3 linked regions of the Drosophila melanogaster genome follow. The protein of the gene in region 1 interacts with the protein of each later gene in a pairwise test. Each region holds a gene or a part of one and is shown in the gene's direction. Other genes may lie near its edges.

Region 1 (3,760 bases):
TAGTCGCAATCCGGATAACTATGTCCGAGAAACCAAACTGCAACAGCACAAAAGTAAGTTCATATACGAAGAAAGACCAAAGTATTATAAGAATGCCACTTTCAGTGCCCAGGAACTACGATCCTTCGCTGCATCCTTTGGAGGGTCCCAGGGAATACGTGCGTGCCCTGAATGCCACCAAGTTGGATCGAGTATTTGCCAAACCCTTCGTCTGCAATTTGAGCGGGCATCGCGATGGAGTCTCCTGCTTCGGAAAGCATCCCAAGCAACTTTCCACCTTGGCCACCGGCGCCTATGACGGCGAAGTGCGCATTTGGGACTTGGCGAATCGTATCAGCTCTCGGAACTTTGTGGCCCACGACGGTTTCGTTCGCGGCATTGCTTACACCCAGAACGGAGGTCGCATTTTCACCGTGGGAGATGATAAAACCATCAAGGTTTGGAAAGCAGAGGCTCCGGAAGTCGGCGAGGATGAGGTGCCGGTGAACACTATACTGAGTAAATTTGGACTGCACGGCATCTCGCACAATCGCAGGGATAACAAGTTCGCCACCTGTGGCGAGGTATGCGCCATTTGGGACGAAAGGCACAACGATCCTTTGAAGACATTGAAGTGGGGCGTCGATACCCTTCACACCATATCCTATAACCCCGTGGAAACAAGCATCCTGGCGTGCTGTGCCAGCGATCGCAGCATTATCCTGTACGATCAGAGAGAGGCGCAGCCACTAAGGAAGGTCGTCCTAACCATGAAGAGCAACAAGCTCGCGTGGAATCCCATGGAGGCGTTCAACTTCACAGTGGCCAACGAGGATTGCAAGTGAGTAAAACGGCCATACGAAGAGGATGTGTTGCTAAAATCTTTATTTCTTACAGCCTTTATACCTTTGACACTCGCAAGCTGCAAACGCCGCTGAAGGTTCACTTTGACCATGTTTCCGCTGTCACCGATGTTGACTACTCGCCCACTGGCAAGGAATTCGTCTCGGCCAGCTACGACAAGACCATTCGGATCTACAATGCCCACCACAGTCACTCGCGGGATATTTACCACACAAAACGCATGCAGCATGTGGTCTGCGTGGCCTGGTCCCTCGATAATCGATACGTTTTCTCCGGCTCCGACGAAATGAACGTCCGCATGTGGAAGGCGAATGCCTCCGAAAAGCTGGGCGTCATCCGTCCACGTGAGCGCGTCAATTTCAATTACCAGGAGGCGCTGAAGCAAAAGTATGCCGCTCATCCGCAGATCAAGCGCATCGCGCGCCATCGCCAGGTGCCGCGTCACGTGCTCAATGCACAGAAGAAGATGCGCACGGTCAAGGAGAAGGAGCAGGTCAAGGAGGCCAATGTGCGCAAGCACACCAAGAAGAGCAAGAAGGTGCCCTACGTCAGCGAGAAAAAGAAGCATGTGCTGAAGGAGGAGGTGTGAGGATGATTGCTAACGACTGTAGTTGGATAAGTTTGAATAAAATTGATTTTTGTAAGGAGACTATGTATGTATATATTAAGAAGCCTAATCTCAATTGAGTTTCTCACTTTCTATCATTGTTCTCAAGTGACTTTCAGTTTGGTCAAGTCAAACCGAAGTTATCAGTGAATTTGCTTAGTTTAAACTATTGTTTGGCTTTAATTCAGTGATACTAGAAGAAAGAAGATGTTGATAAGTTCTAAGGAATACTCTCCTGTTGCTCTAGAGAGAAAACTCATTTGCTTTGCCATGCAGCAACGTTTCGCGGAAATTTGAAATTCAATTCGTATCCGATAAGCCCTCGCGGGCGATAACGTTTGGGGAAAATCGGAGAGACGCGTCCATTTCTAGGGGATTCTCGATTATAAAAGGTTGCCAGCCCCACCGTTGGTGCTCAGTATTTGTTCGTTTGTTGTTACGGCAGCCGCCAGTCGGTCGTTAGTTTTTGTTTTCGTTCATTTGTTTATACTCGCGCGGCACTCGGCCCCCCTCCCGTTCCCACATAACCCGTTTGAAAGGCATCAACTGAGAGTCATTGAAATCATGGAGGCACTGGGGGATCTCTTGGCGCCACACAGCGAACTAATCGCCAAGGTAGCCGGCACCATAACTACCCTGCAATTTCTGTCCGGAGTGGTTCTGATGAACGACATCCGCAAGAAGGGTAGCAGCGACGTCTACCCGGTGGGCCCATTTCTCTTCGGAGTGGTGCTGTAAGTAACCTAATTGGGATTCCGTGATGCTCCACTGCATGCGACATCGAAAAAAAAACTAGTGGGCAGGGGGCAGGAAAAGCGAGTGAAAAGAACAAAAGCCAACGCATCTGTGTGGGAATTGATTAAATTTTAGAACTGTCGCCATGACAGCACAGAATCGAGTCTCTTCAAGGCCGCCAGTGAATCGGTTTTGCACACAATTCAAGAAGATAACAATGGAATCGATTACATCACTGCGTTGGCCAAATGGGAATTACACTTCGATCATCCGCGACCGTTACATTTCGAAATCGTTAACCTTGTCGAAAATCCGCCAGCAGCACTTTTGCCGCCTTATCGATGCGAGAACCCTCCAAACACGTAGCTCTTATCTAGAGTGTATAATTTTAGAGCTCCTCTATTACGAATGCTGATCCGGTAGAGTCTGTCCAAATCTGGGAGAGCCGCTAATCGTTTATACGACGGGCGAAAGATACGCGACTCGCCCTCTCCACGTGCTCGGCATAAAGCGGGGCTGCCCAGATTCCAAAGGGGGTGGGCCACCCAGTGGTGGTGATGGGAATATCTTGTCATCTATAAATATAATCTTCTCTAATTATAGCCGTAAGGCTTGTCCATTACTGCATATGAATAATAGTGTTTGCTTAGCAAAACATAATATTTTTTTAACTATAGTTTCCGTAATAATACATTTCTTTAAACAATTCCAAATTCCTGCTGGCTAAAGCACTAAATGTAGATGAACTCTCGAGGAATTTACCTTTTTATTTTTAAATCGTAAACTTTCCACTGTTTGTTTTGAACATCTCAAAAGATCATAAAGTGCCATATGGCAGCAAGTGAATGAGTACCATCAAGTGAGTGTGCCATCACTGCGCCGGGGCTTACTTGGGGGTGGTTTTCCGGAAGGTGTTAACTTGGACTGTGTCAAGTGTAAGGACCCGCAGACATGCAAGCGAAGCAACAGTTGTATGCTAAACGAATTCCACTCCACCCAATGGGCGCTCGAGGTCTCGGTCAAGGGCAGGTTCCTCGGCCAGTTTGCATTTCATTTCGCCCAGCCCGGGTGTATTTCACCATTGTTGTGGGTTTGTTTATAGGTTGATCGATGATAATGCTGATTATTTGTTGAGCGTTGAGCTCCTTATCAAATGCTACGTGTACCATGATTTGCACGCCGGCCCTATTATGCTTATTTATCTATCTCCACCTAGTATAGAATCTGATAACGCAATTAATAAGTGTAAACTGGTTTTTTTTTTCAATGAAGTGGTAGACTGGAGCACTTTAAATGAAAACTAGTTCCATTTCTCTTGATTCGAACTTTCTGTAGCGACTTACTGCTGGAAAACTGGTTCGGGCAGGGTCAATTAATTTGAATTAATTATAATATCCTCAGAAAACTATGCTCTTATCTACAAGTTAACTGGAATTTATAAAATTTCCAGCCTTATATTGAAGAATATTTTAAAATGAATATGAATGGTAACAGTATTACATTTTTGTTTAAATATAAAAACCAAATTTTGTCCTAAATTAAAGTAACTAATTAACAAATTGTTGAACTTTCTAG
Region 2 (3,760 bases), on another chromosome or scaffold:
ATGTACAGTATATTGATCTATCTTTCGAGGGCCGGCTGCCGAGTGGAGCTGAACAACGCCAATGCAAGCATTTTTGAGTGGATAACGGACCGCCACATCAGGCAACTGATTTTTGGGCAGCAGGGCGAAGCTGAATCGCTGCCTAGGAATCTTCAAGCTTTGGAAGTGTCCGCAGGATCAGCCGACGGTGAGGAGAGCTCTGCGTCTGCTGGAGCTGAATCCAATGGAGCCGGACCTGGAAGCGTTGCAGCACCCCCACCACCGCAGCGCCAGACATTTGAACTAATGCCAAAGCCAAACGATATCCCAGCCATTGGAGTTGGAGCATCTCCATCCACGCCCTCCGCCTCGCCGGGCGTAAAGAAACTGAACTCCGACGCAACACCGCAAAACGTCTCTCCACAGGTGGCACCGCGCAAGAAGGCGCCCAAGCCTCCGGTTACCACTAGCTCGAGCAGTACCGCGTTGGAAGCCGGAGCGGCGGGACCCAGTACCAGTCCGGTGATCGTCCCCGGTCCCCATGAGTGCATTGTGTGCAATGAGATCCTGCCGATGGTGCGCTTTGAGCCGTGTCAGCATCAGATCGCCTGCGAGGAGTGCGGCATCCGAATGAAAAAGTGTCTCCGCTGTGCCGTGGCGATCGAGCGGCGATTGACGGTCAGCGGCCGAGTGGTGGCCCTGCCCACGTCCACGTCGTCACCTAGTGACCCCACTCGCCTACCGTCCGGGGATCTACTTCGCTATCTGGAGAACAAAGTGCTGGAGTTTGAGGAGTCGCACTTCTGCGGTATTTGCATGGAGCGAAAAAGGGATGTGGCCTTCCTGTGCGGGCACGGCGCGTGCTCCCATTGTGCCGAAACGCTCCGCACATGCCACATGTGTCGCAAGACAATACTCAAGAAGATCAACCTGTACTGAACGGCGGTAACGGAAACGAAAGAAAAGCAAAGGCGGCAGGATCAGCAGCAATTCAAACAGCAACCAAAGTGGCTTGTATATATACATACACAAAACAAACACACACTCACATTGCCGTGTCATGTGCAAATCGAAATTATTATTTATTGATCACAAACGAAATTTACGAGTTCTTTTTTAATCGGTTCATCATCGGCATCGTCGCAACACGCAACAAATTAATGTGCACCTTCTCGTGTCTAGTTATTAGCCCCGTTTAACCATGTCTGGTAACGATAAATACATAGGAAACTAACTAAAGCATACAAATATTTAATAGTCATTTAAATGCAAATATACAAATATAAAATTATTTAATTGAGTGAATTTCAATCGATGTCGGTGGTTAGCCTACAGAAAATAAAGATACTTTATTTCTGAATATGCTGGGGTGACTTTTAATTGTATTGGTATTTAAAAGGTTTAGTTTAAAATTGAATATATAATAAGTTTAGAAAGATTTTAAAACTGAAATGTTGTAACGGCAAAGTGTGAACAAGTTATTTTCTTTCAGTACGCTGCATAAATTTTAAATGTTTTGCATTTTTGTAAGCATTGACTTGGCAAGCTGTCGGATCTTAAGCTCCGTTTAAAAGTTAATGTAAGCAAAAGCGGCAAAGTACAACTTATAATTGAAAATATACACAAGTTTATTTTTTATTTGAGCGAAACAATCGATACCTCCAGATTTACACGCTAATCGATAACAACGTAGCCAGAAAAAAAGCAAACACGTCACAACACTTTGGCCGCAGTCCGACGCGAAACTAAAGTAAAGGACAAAATGGCCAAACAAGTGGCTGATTACCAGTGCAGTAAGCTCCAGTTGTACCAAAAGCTGGCACTGGTCGTAATCCTGGGAGCAGTGCTTTTCTCGCTCCCGGCGTTGTGCGCCGGCCAGGGCAATCCCAGTTTCAAATACTCGCGGGAAGCCAACGAAAACTTCGATCCGCAGAAGGCTCCACGGGCGGAGCACCATCATCATCATGATCATGACCACGATCATGGACACCACCACCACGGGCACGATCATGATCATGACCACGACCACGGGCATGATCATGGACACCATCATCACGGGCACGATCATGATCATGACCACGACCACGGACACCATCATCACGGGCACGATGAAAGGCACACCAAGGCAAAGCCGGATTTGGGTAATCAACGAACTACCACTCTTAAAATGCCCGAGTTGACCCAAATTTCTTATAGATATGAGCACCATTTGGTTGCACTCGATCGGCTCAACTCTTCTTATCAGTGCCGCTCCCTTCGTGCTGCTGTATATCATTCCCCTAGACAACAGTGAGGCGATGAAGCCGCGTCTCAAAGTGCTTCTGGCCTTTGCTTCTGGCGGTTTGTTGGGTGATGCCTTTCTGCACTTGATTCCTCATGCCACGCATCCACACAGTCATGGAGAACACGGCCACGATCACGGCCATGATCACCATCATCATCATGATGGCGAGGAGCATGAACATGGTCACAGCCACGATATGAGCATTGGTCTGTGGGTCCTTGGAGGAATCATTGCCTTCCTTTCAGTGGAGAAACTGGTACGCATTCTAAAGGGCGGTCATGGAGGACACGGCCACAGCCATGGAGCACCAAAGCCAAAACCAGTGCCTGCTAAGAAAAAGTCCTCTGACAAAGAAGACAGCGGAGATGGAGACAAACCGGCAAAGCCAGCCAAGATCAAGTCCAAGAAACCAGAAGCGGAGCCAGAAGGCGAAGTGGAGATTTCCGGCTACTTGAATTTGGCGGCGGACTTTGCTCACAACTTCACCGATGGCCTGGCCATCGGCGCCTCCTATTTGGCGGGCAACAGCATTGGCATTGTGACCACTATCACTATTCTGCTGCACGAAGTGCCCCATGAGATTGGTGACTTTGCCATTCTTATAAAGTCTGGCTGTTCCAGGCGAAAGGCAATGCTTCTGCAGCTCGTCACAGCGCTCGGAGCTTTGGCGGGCACAGCGCTAGCTCTTCTGGGAGCTGGAGGCGGGGACGGATCGGCCCCATGGGTCTTGCCCTTCACAGCCGGCGGTTTTATTTACATCGCAACAGTGAGTGTCCTGCCGGAGCTGCTTGAGGAGTCTACGAAACTGAAACAGTCGCTGAAGGAAATCTTTGCGCTGCTAACCGGCGTAGCCCTAATGATCGTTATCGCCAAGTTCGAGTAATATCAAAATTGTGGAAAGTTAACACAAAAAAGATCTAATTGCATGTACTGAAAGTGTGCCGCAAACAATTTGAAAGATTTCTGTTCGTTACCTACTCAAAACGATGAGCAACTACTTAAATTTCTTATATTTCAACAGTCAGTAACCGCTATTAGTTCCCAATATAAACAATGCGGCGTTATTTAAGATTTTTTAAGCCTTCCAAATTTGTGCTTCACTTCGAAATGAAATTTTTATAAATAGTCAAAATTACACTGTAAAAAGAATCCTCACTGGCGCTTCTCTCCATTCAGGGTTGTCTTTATCTCGTTGAGACAATACTCGGCCTGCTCTACGGCATCGGGATTCTGGTGTTGCTTTCCCAGTTTCCACGCCAGTCGGCAAGCGTTCTCCGCCTGCGACATCAGGCCCTCGCGAAGATACACCAAACCCAGATTTGCCTGCAGAATGCCTTCCTGGGTGGCATCCTTTAGCTCCTTAGTCAGCTCCATGGCCTCCAAAAGGGTCTCCCTTGCCTCGGCGTACTTTTCCAGCTGTAATTAGTCTAATGTGTTTCAAGTACTTTGGAAGAATAGACGCACCTACGTTTACGTACGCCACACTGATGTTATTTA
Region 3 (2,720 bases), on another chromosome or scaffold:
CTGACTGGTGGCTGCATGGTAAACGCGCCTACAATTTGGCCATTTGATTAGCCTCACCTCGTCATGGTCGCCGGGGCCCCAAATGGCCGATCCAATACGGCACATAAAATCCAATTTAATTAAGTTGGACTCTCGGATTGAGACGCAGTCGGAGGATCGAGACTCAGATGGAGGCCCACAAAATCACAAAGTAGCAGCTGCCGTGGCAGACAACCTTGCCAACATTCTTAACGTGTTCAAGATTTTTACCAACGCACTGCATTTAGGTTTGTTGTTGTCGCGTTCACTTTTCAAATGCTTACGAAATGTCAATATTCGGCACAAAGTTATTTGTTATTTGATCGGATCGATTGAGCAATTGTTGATATACAATTTTTCTGTGTTTGTTCTTTTTGTCTAACGGTTTCTCATTGATTTGTTAGCTAATTGTATACGAAAAATGTAATTAAAATTAAAACGAGTAACTGGAAACCACAACGCTCGCATGTTAGCTTGACAAACGAAAAATAGGTAAATAAAAAATGTTAACACCTAGATCGCACAGCTGGCGACAACGGTGCGAATGAGTCATATTGCACCAGAGTAGAGTTTCAATTAGTTGCAAATTACGTGCCTAAAGCTAAGAACCAAACCTAAAAAATGTTATGCCGAGTAATTATAAAATATTTGGTATTAAAAGCATACTTGAACACATATGAGTGATACACCCAAAAATGGTTCACACACTTGTGTTTACTTTCTAAATTTCAGAAATCGCAAAATGATTTTACGTAATTTACGTAATTCAATGTTGCCACCATGACATTTCATTTTTACCATTTTTTCATTATTATTGCCCACCTATCAAACCTCAATTGGGTTTGCAATTTTTTAAACAATCGTAAGCCTAATTTGCTTTCATTGTTATGGATAATAAACGGACCCTGAGCTATATATGGCAAGGTTAACCATTATTTTGGGTCTCCATCACTTGAGCCTATATTTTCAAAACTATTTTCGCAAATGCCTTACTTCCTGGCAACCGCGATCATCGCGGGTGTTTCTTTTTTGGCTTACCAATTGGCCGGCTTAATCAAGCCTTCTATATGCCAATTAAATCCATGGCTGCTAGTAATGTTAGTTAGACCATAATTTTATGAAAAAGAGCCTTCTATGTCTTGCTAGTCATGTTTTATGCATAAATTGATTTAAGAGTTGAAAATGCGTCTGCGCATGTAGTATATATCTCTGGTTTTTTCTATGAAATTTTGTGTTCAGCTACATATAACAACGCTTGCTAAGGTATGTGCTTCTAACTTGAATTCATATTTACTCATTCATATTTTTTATATGAATAATAGCAGGTGGTTGTTGAACTCTTTCATTCTGATTTATCATCTGCTAAACACTGAAATTACAAAACTGGATCATTGGAGTATATTACAGATAAAATCTGACCTCAGTTTCTCCATTACAACATTATCAAAATTGTCATATAATTTAATTTTTAACATAATATGTACCTTTAACTGCATTCATGTTTTTTTTAAGTACTCAGGTATCTGCTATAAAAGGAGTAATTCCTTTTAAGCCAAGTATCAGTTGCTTCCTACTCTACATTCAAGCACACAATTAAAAGACCTATTTCAAAATGGCACTCTATTATATTTTGGTGATCAGTGTCCTGCTTGTCCTCGCCCAAGGATCGTATTTGTCGTCGGTGAATCAGGAATCCGGGGTGGGAGTGCATCAGTCTGGAGCTATTTCATCTAGAGCTCCAGCTGCCGGAATAACCCGTGGCTACTCCGCTGCCCCTCAGACCCAACGACCCATCTCTGGATATGGATCCCTCTCTGGTCCTGTTGGAGGATCCCGTCGAGTGCCCGTAGTTGGAGTGACCGGATCTCGTCCTCGTGGTGGAGCTCCGCGTAGTCCGTCTGCTGGAGCTCATGGACGTCCAAATGTAGGTGGATCTGCCCATGGAAATTCCTACCAGAATCGCCAACGCAGCCAAAAGCCTTATTAAGAAACAGAACTTATCATCAGCAAATGACCAAACCTAGATCTACATCCTTATTGTCACATTCTTATTCTACTCTCAAACCTTTTTCTATCGCAAATAATAACAAATGTTACATAAAAACGAAACTTGATTAAGATTATTTTACAATGGCAGGGATAAGATTGAGCATTGGGGAATATTCATTTCATAGGCATTACCTAGTACTTAATCCTTAGCAACAATGTCACCTTTAATGAACTGGTTAATACGCCAATTTCAGCTTTAGCGACAAGTTACGCACTCAATTGGCTGCACTTCATGATTTAAACATTTCTTGAATAGTTGCCCAAAGCGAGTAGCCATTTAAGCTGGGAATATGAATTCGATTTTCAAACCATTTAAAGTTACCAATTTGTTGATATTCGGCTATGTTAAGACGCTGATTCTTGAATCATTAAAATAAGCCAGAGTGCTAAAATAAACAATAAACTAAAGCGCATAAGCACATAAAGCACATATATATACATATGTAGGTTTTAGTACATCTTATTTCGTGCATAACTCTTTAATCATACATGTTTTTTTTTAAATAAATTTTTTATTTTATACATCCTACGATTCTAACTGCTTTACATTTTTTTTTTTTGTAATAAATCTGTATGTTTTTACTGACATTCAAAAATTAAAAAAAAAAAAGCTTACTTTAATTATGAGTATATCCCTTGAACATAAAAATCCC

The links.
Region 2: the proteins of CG7272 (region 1) and Catsup interact in a two-hybrid assay, tested with the Drosophila melanogaster proteins (one large-scale study listed by BioGRID).
Region 3: the proteins of CG7272 (region 1) and CG14332 interact in a two-hybrid assay, tested with the Drosophila melanogaster proteins (one large-scale study listed by BioGRID).

Annotation. Positions count from the first base shown.
Region 1 is NT_037436.4:15,499,077-15,502,836, forward strand, and holds the start of CG7272 (uncharacterized protein), read left to right. Parts: upstream 1-1,861; 5' UTR 1,862-2,014; coding exon 2,015-2,184; intron 2,185-3,760. Other genes in the region: CG7275 (uncharacterized protein), read left to right, coding at 1-53, 106-820, 877-1,432.
Region 2 is NT_033779.5:19,040,205-19,043,964, forward strand, and holds Catsup (catecholamines up), read left to right. Parts: upstream 1-1,657; 5' UTR 1,658-1,741; coding exon 1,742-2,120; intron 2,121-2,175; coding exon 2,176-3,146; 3' UTR 3,147-3,410; downstream 3,411-3,760. Other genes in the region: mib2 (mind bomb 2), read left to right, coding at 1-918; Ttc19 (tetratricopeptide repeat domain 19), read right to left, coding at 3,416-3,679, 3,732-3,760.
Region 3 is NT_033777.3:17,421,087-17,423,806, reverse strand, and holds CG14332 (uncharacterized protein), read left to right. Parts: upstream 1-1,604; 5' UTR 1,605-1,630; coding exon 1,631-2,005; 3' UTR 2,006-2,117; downstream 2,118-2,720.